2 linked regions of the Rhinolophus ferrumequinum genome follow. Each later gene encodes a partner of the first gene's protein in a complex. Links are inferred from orthologs where the notes say so. Each region holds a gene or a part of one and is shown on either strand. Other genes may lie near its edges.

Evidence for each region. The genes of interacting proteins can lie anywhere in the genome.
Region 2: the proteins of RAD18 (region 1) and UBE2B are in contact, whole or in part, in a crystal structure (PDB 2YBF), measured with the Homo sapiens proteins. The link is inferred for Rhinolophus ferrumequinum from reciprocal best matches to the Homo sapiens genes RAD18 and UBE2B. Residues at the interface, in NP_064550.3 of Homo sapiens: Tyr342, Arg343, Lys344, Lys345, His346, Lys347, Glu349, Phe350, Leu353, Val354, Gln356, Ala357, Arg358, Lys359, Gly360, Tyr361; in NP_003328.1 of Homo sapiens: Pro20, Val22, Gly23, Val24, Ser25, Gly26, Ala27, Ser29, Glu30, Gln35, Asn37, Ala38, Val39, Phe41, Gly42, Pro43, Glu44, Glu49, Asp50, Lys54, Leu55, Val56, Leu73, Ser74, Asp151, Ser152.

The regions. Positions count from the first base shown.
Region 1 is NC_046300.1:44,748,402-44,752,148, reverse strand, and holds the start of RAD18 (E3 ubiquitin-protein ligase RAD18), read right to left. Parts: upstream 2,338-3,747; 5' UTR 2,256-2,337; coding exon 2,205-2,255; intron 1-2,204. UniProt on the Homo sapiens protein: E3 ubiquitin-protein ligase involved in postreplication repair of UV-damaged DNA. Postreplication repair functions in gap-filling of a daughter strand on replication of damaged DNA.
Region 2 is NC_046307.1:10,302,045-10,305,791, reverse strand, and holds the start of UBE2B (ubiquitin-conjugating enzyme E2 B), read right to left. Parts: upstream 2,575-3,747; 5' UTR 2,449-2,574; coding exon 2,405-2,448; intron 1-2,404. UniProt on the Homo sapiens protein: E2 ubiquitin-conjugating enzyme that accepts ubiquitin from the ubiquitin-activating enzyme E1 and transfers it to a E3 ubiquitin-protein ligase. In vitro catalyzes 'Lys-11'-, as well as 'Lys-48'- and 'Lys-63'-linked polyubiquitination.

The sequences.
Region 1 (3,747 bases):
AGCAAGACGCGCGAAAGGTGGCGCGGAAGGTGTCACCGCATCAGATGAGCTATAACACTCTCGCACAAATTTCCCATCATGCCATTCCAAGACAGTAGCATACACGTCACATGCATCTAACCCCAAATAGAGAGTGGTCAAGTGGATGCCGCAAGATTTCTTTAACTTAGAGAAAGTGGAACGGGGAAGTAGGGAATGGGTAAAAAGCCAATAATTAGAGCAAAGGTTCTTAAGCTTTTGGGTCACAGATCCCTTTGAAAAATGGATGAAAACTATGGACTCTCTCCTTAGAAAAGCATACATATAAACAAAAATTTTATAAATAATCTAGATACCAAAGTCTTTTCATGGATCCTGTTAGGAACCATGGATTTGGAGTCAGATTTCTATTCAATATAAGAAAGAACTTCCAACAGAGCTACTTCTGGGAGCAGCTAATTCTTTGTCCTTGGCACACTTCAAGCAAAAGCTAGATGACAAACTGGCAAATACAATGTAAAAGGGATTAAAAGACTGGAGGGGGGCTGGTTTCCCAACCTTAGTATTTCATGATTCTAATACGGGCTCAATCAACTCCATCACTGAATACTCTCTGGTGCTGAACCCTCAATTCGGTGCTGTGATGAGGTATCAAAGCCAAAGACAAGGAACCTGCCTCCAGAGAACGCAGTGGAAGTTGTGGGAATATATAAAATCTGCTTAAGTCTACAGACAGGTAGCTTTACAAGTTACACAGCTCTCACTTCCTTTATCCCATTCAATCCTCACAACAAATAAAAAGGGGGTTTAAACAGTTAACACACGCTAAGTGTTAATAAGATATGTTAATTGAATGCTTACTACCTTCCAGATACCTTTAATCAATTAGGAAATAATTTTTGAGCACCCACTATGTGCCACACACTGTGTTACGCAGTGAGTAAGACAGACAGGATCCCTAGCCACACACATCAATTCATTTAACCAACCCTATAAACTGTTTATTTTTGTCTCCAGTTTATAGTTGAGGAAATTCATGCTCAGAGATTAAGTAACTGACTCAAGATCACAGCTAAGGAAGAGGCAGAGACCAGATTTAACCCAGGATCATCAGAACTCAAATCTATGCTCACCTCGGTGCCAGGGCCACCACAACCTCAAAACCACATCTTTCTTAGATCCTCCCAATGTCAGCTTTTCACCGTGGGGCTGTATCTCAAGGGCCCCAAAACAGTAGATAACACTGATGATGACGGAAGAATAAAGTCTCAAACTTAGTTAACCTCCCCCAAGTCTCTTCACTTAATCCTCAGAGACAGCCTTATAAATCAGTGGGACACATGCCATAATCCCCAAGTGTACGAAACTTTAGAACAGGATGAGAACTTGAAATGAAAGTGATCACAGAGCAAGGAGAAACACCAAGCAATTGACTCTTAACTAGCACAGCAAAGTGTATTTGTTCTTGACCAAATACAGCAGGAATCCTGGGCTCACCACTACTGTAAATGGAAACTAAAATGCCTTGCCGCCACAAAATGCCAAGCAGCCACAAAAATCAATGTTATATAAGAGAAATAATTCAATGAAATGAAAGGCTGGTGCTGCGCCTGAGTCCTGGTCCCTTTGTTTAAAAGAGAGACGTGCACAACTGTTAGGAGTTAGGACTCATTGGGAAGGAGTTAGGGCAAACCAGCACTAGGCTTCTTGAGGGTAATTAGAGGGTGTAATTAGAGGGTGTAATTAGAGGGTAACAATAGGATGTGAAGATTACCTGCTTCACTAGGTGATTAAATAAATGTTTTTTGATGCAAGGTTCACCCAAAATCAGGTCGGGGGTCACTTTCAGAAATTCTCAACTAATGTACTGAAAGAGTTGGCATAATGCTTGGCATGTAGTAGTAAGTCCTCAGAAAGGGCTGTCACTGTCGTTTTCACTGTTTAAAGTAACTGCTTTTCTCGAGGTCATTGTTGTTGTGACTTAACTGCAGGATACCCGGTTCCATAAGACAGCCAACTTCAGCTCACCCTAAGGGACCGAGGCCTGTCCCCGTCCCTTCTCGGGGAGGAAACTAAGGCCCTGAGCCATGCGGCTGGTAAGTGGCAGAGCAGAACCGGGTTACCCAGGCCCAGCTCGCCTCTCCCGCCTCTTCCTTTCTCATCCTCAAGGCGGGACTGGCCTCCCGATGACACCCGGGCGCCCCCAACCTCCCCGAAGCACTCACCTTCATGACTGCCAGACCTGGAGGCCACCGAGGCTCGACTAGTGAGTCCATGGTCTCCCCTAAGGAGGATGGGGGGTCCACCACCCACTAGCCTCCCGCACTCCAGTCCCACTCGAAATTCCCCGCGCTACCACGCTACGACAGCAGCCCGCGACGCGCCCGAAACCTGCGCGGAGTCTGCCGGGAGTTGTAGTACGAGGGAGGAGCGCAGCCAACGATGCTCTAGTACTGCGCACGCGCCGGACTTCTGCTTTGCCTTCCACGGCAGGAAGTAAATGGTTAAAAAGTCCACATCAGGTTTTGTACCAGACCCCTAATAAATGGATGTTGAATGTTGGGGAAAGACAGCCAGGACACAAACCAAATCCAGATCTTGCCAGATCTTTCAAGGTCTAGGCTAATGCCTCCTTCTTTGTGTTGCCCTCCCTGATTGCTGTAATTATCTGTCTCTGAACCCCTGACTTTGAAAAGGGTTTTTGTATCTAGTATTATTTCATCTAACCCCATCACAGTACCGGGAGGTAGGAAGTACCATTGTCAGTTTACACAAAAGGAAGCTTTGGCTCAAAAAAGTGAGTTGTTTCCTTGAGTCGCACAGTTCATTGACCAGATTATAGAGCCTCTGGACTTTTTAAACGGGAGCGCTTTCATTTATCAAATTAAAATTATAAAGTTAGTCTTTTCTTTATTGCCTTAACTTTGTGTAGCCTTCCAAATATTTTCTATGCAGATACATAGAAATGGATTTTTTCCCCTGCAAGTGTTATATTCAATGTATAGCTCTGTCAACTTGAATTTTTCTGTTTTTTTTTTACTTAACCATACATCTTGAGACCTTTCCATGTTACTACATATAGCTTTACCTCATTCGTTTTAACAGCCATGTAGCCCATAATGTAAAGGTACCACAATTTATTTATCTACTCTCGTATGAAGGAAACCTTTAGGTTGTTTCCAATTTTTTACTCTTGCAAAGAGCGGCAATAAACATACTATTTATATAAATCTTGGCACACTTGAGCCAGGATATCTGGTGATTTCTTGTAAATAGAACTACTAGGTCGATTTGCTCATTTAAAACTGTTATTGCTAGCATTATGTGAGTTTCTAAACAGGCTGTATCAATACAGGTACACGTTCACCAAGCAGGTATAAGAGTACCTGTGCTGACCAGCATGCCACCCAGCCTATCTACTCAGCTCAGCACTCATCCACTGCCTTAGGTGGGACTCCATTGCAGCAGGCCTCATGGGCAGCAAGTCTTCACAGTTATATTGCTTGGTGCAGACCCCTGCAGCTTGCCACTGCTGCCCCACATGGTCCATGCATTCATTCATTCAACAAATAGTTTTCTAAGTGACCACTGGTCAAGCACTCGAGCTAACCTGTAAAGTAGGCAGAGGTAAGGTTATTATTGCCATTTTACAGACGAAGACACTGAGGCTCAGAGAAGTTAAGGCTTCACTCTTTTGGGCCCTCTTCCTAAGGAACCTCTGGCCCCTGAGCCAGAGATGTACTCAACTGACTTTTTCCTAATACTCAT
Region 2 (3,747 bases), on another chromosome or scaffold:
TAACTTAAAAAAAAAGAAAAAACGACCAGGTATACACTTATCTACAAATTATCTAAAATTCCAAAGAGTTTGGGAGTATCCCTCTTCAAATACCATCAAGATTAAGATATCTCTTCAAGAACTAATGTATACAGGCTTCCCTCAAAAAATAAAAATTAAAATTAAAAACCTCAACTGCAAGATTTTCACAGAACATCCATTTTGCTGCTGTATGAGTCCTAACCACAGCTATTTGTGCAACATGGCCACCAAACCTCCTCCCACCCCCCAAAAAACAAAAAAACCTCAGTGTAAACTAGGGTTTCCGGGCAGGGATTCCCGTCCCGTTCTCGTGATCTTTTTTCGCTTTCCCATTCCCGAATCCTGAGAAAAGTTGGTCGGGAAATCGGGGAGATGGGCTCCTTGAACCCAGTAATACCCACAATGGGAAATAAATGTATTACTCGCAATGTATCTTAGACATTTTTCCTATTTATCGCTAGGGTTTCCGGGCGGGAATTCCCGCCTGTTCTCGGGAACTTTTTTTCTTTTTGCTTTTCTGTTCCAATCCCAAGAAAAATTGGTCAGGAAATCGGGAAAATCGGCTCCTTGAACCCAGGTGGTTGGTAGTATCGGCCGTCACTTTGTGGAAACAGTTCATCGTGAGAACAGAAAACAGTTTATATCTCGGGATTCGGGAAAGAAAAGCGACAAAAACTCCTGAGAACGGGCGAAATCCTAGTGTAAACACAAAACTATTAAAAACACATATCCAATTTAATTAGGAAACTAATTTTAGGCAGGAAAGTTACTTTATACAATTTGCTTCAATTGGCAATGGCTTTTAAAGTAATCAAAGTTTCATTTAGGTTTTCCTATCAGTCCCTATTTTAGAGGTTCGGCACTAACATTAAATTTACCTCTCAGATCAGGAGAGTCAATACAAAGCTACTACCATCCAACATTTGTCATAGTCAAATTCTCATAACCTGGAGACCCTTGGAAAACTAGCAAAAGTGCCATGTGTTCAACTCAGAATAAAGCAGAGACTCACAGTAAGAAAACCAGGGTAACAATGGACACAAACAAAGTTTTATTATTTGAATTTTGTTCATGGGAGTTAGTCTGAAATCTACCAATTTCAAGCTTCAGAAGAAGCATGAAATAGGGCATCTCCTTTTAAAGACTGTTATCTCAGTAAAAAATGAATGCTACATTATATATATTATACATGCAGTGATTGTCATGTAGTATAATACTTTGAAATTAGTCTACATAAAAATGGTTATTTTTAGTGAACCTCAGATTAGGCCACGATGAAGAAGCCTTAGAGGAATTAGGCTGCTTGATGCCCACCAAAGGCTAAGAGAAGTTACGAATATATTCAACGATAAATTGGCTGAAGCCCAAAACAATAGGTTCCAAAGGCCTCACCTACGACGTTGTAATTGTGAAGTTGAGAGGTTACTTCCTGAGCAGCTAATCTAAAATTTTACACTAGATATTTTATCTCAATCAAGGCAGGTCTCCCATGAAAAACACTTATAATGTGCAGAGGATCGCAATGCTAAGTTTTCTCAGTCATTTTTTTCCCGTACCTCCAAGTATTCAATCAAACGTAAACTGGAAAAAAAAAATCACTTCCTTCTCACTAACCCCCACACTTCTCAACAAAACCCTATTTTACAAAAGGAGGCCCAGGGAGTATCAGGTTAACGCCAGTTAAGGGAAGGCATTTTTCCAGACTTTGGAGGCTATAGATAGGGCTTTATACACCAGGCCACGGAGCTGAGTTCCAGAAGGCACTGGCAGCCGGTGTTGCCAGCTCGAGTCCCAGGTTTCTAAGCCAGTTCTCAAGGTCCTTTCAGGCGGGCGGGTGAGAGTCGGGTTTCGGAGGATGGGTTAACCACCTCCGGATCTCGCGCTGCAGACCCCACCCTCACTGCAGAACGAACGGGGGGGGGGGCTTTTCGCCCCAACCCTGTCCCTCCGAGGAGACCGCAGGACCATCGAACAAAGCTGATTGGTGCAGCAAGCAGGGAAAAAAGCTTCCCCAAGAGCTCGCTTTTGGGAGACAAGGAGGGGGCGCCGCCGGGTGCAGGGGTGGGGGTGGGGGGGTGAGGTTTGAACGCTGGGGCGAGACGTCGGGCAGCTGGCCCGAGCAGGCAGCGGGGAATCCTAGGACAGCCCACAGCCATCTTTTTACTTTTGGGGAGGAGGGGGTATCGAAATGTCTTACGTCAGAGGAGTGAGCAAGCAAAGATGTGGAAGTGCGAACGGGGGGAGTAGAACTGGCCTCCGTCGGTCCCGCGGGGCCCACAGTCGGCCCTCTTAGGACCGTGAGAGGAAGGTATCCCGATCCCCACCCTGCAGGCCCGTAGGTCTGGGGAGGAGCCATCATCCTGGCGAACGTGAAGGGCCTTACCGCTTGAAATCCCGCATAAGCCTCCTCCGGGCCGGGGTCGACATGCTCCCCAGCTGCCCCGCGGTCAGTCTGAGAGAAAAGAGTCCCGCGCAGCCCCCCCACCCCCCGGCGCGGCGGCCGAATCACTGCGGGTCACCGCCGCCGCCGAGGCTGCACAAACAACCCTGCAATGACGTCTCCCTCCGCCACCTCCAGATCCCTCCGCCCTCCGCCACTACCACAGAATGAGGGGTGGAGGAGAAGGAGATAGGCCGTATGAGAGCTCGAACGTAGCCTTTCAGCAGGACCCTATCCATTGTGGCTGCCTGACCTAATCGAAAAATTAGTCTTCGCTGTGTTCAGGCTGGAAATTGTGAATTAAGAGACACCGAAACCGAAACACCACCCTGTCTCTCCCCCTTTCACTAATTTAGGCCCGACCGGGTGGGGAGAGAGGGACTCAAGCGAGGTCGGAGATTTCAGGAAAGGAGGAGGGATGACGTAAAACCACGTGACTGCTGGCGGAGTTGTCAACAATCCACCCCTGAGGGGGAGGGGGCGAAGTATCTAGAACCACGTGTCCCTGTGACGCGATTAGAACGGATCCCTTGAGAGTGTCTCCTGGATCTGAGTCTCAGCCAGGTCAGTGAAGCAGGTAAATTGACTGAGCTGAGGGCGGGCATATACTTTTATTAGTTTTCCATCTGTTTCGTCCTATGAACAGGGAGGGCAATCGAAGAGGTCCTGATGGAAGCAAAGCTTGTTTTGCTTAAGTCTTTAAAACTGAGCCGAAAATAATTTGGATTTAAAATCCCCTCTGGCTGGTTCAATGGCTTATCAAATCTGGTACATGAAGAAGAAAGTGATGGGGGCTTTCATTTTTTCTAATAAATGCAGGATTAAATGCTGAGGCCCGTACGAAGTAAAATCCCCTAAAATACTTCCTTAGGGCCATGCAATAGCGTGTATGTATGTACATTGCAGTGGGGTTTCCAGGGTTGGAAAGTCTGGGCAAAGATAAAAGAACGGTGTAGATTGTCCAAGGTTTATTCACACTCCCTGTGGAATTAAGAATCTTGTTTTTCCTTTATAGGTCTGCCCTCATATGAGGATGTGTCCAAGTCCATGGATTTGGCTAGGATGGGGTACCATTGTATTTGTCAATAAATGTGGGGATGAGGTCTCCAGAGAGCATATCAATGGAAGGTTGGTTGTTAAAGAAACCTAAAACTATGATTCAGATCTTGGGGGGGGGGGTAAATATACCCTGTTTCCCCAAAAATAAGACCTAGCCAGACAGTGAGCTCTAATGCGTCTTTTGGAGGAAAAATTAATATAATAAGACGCGGTCTTATATTAATTTT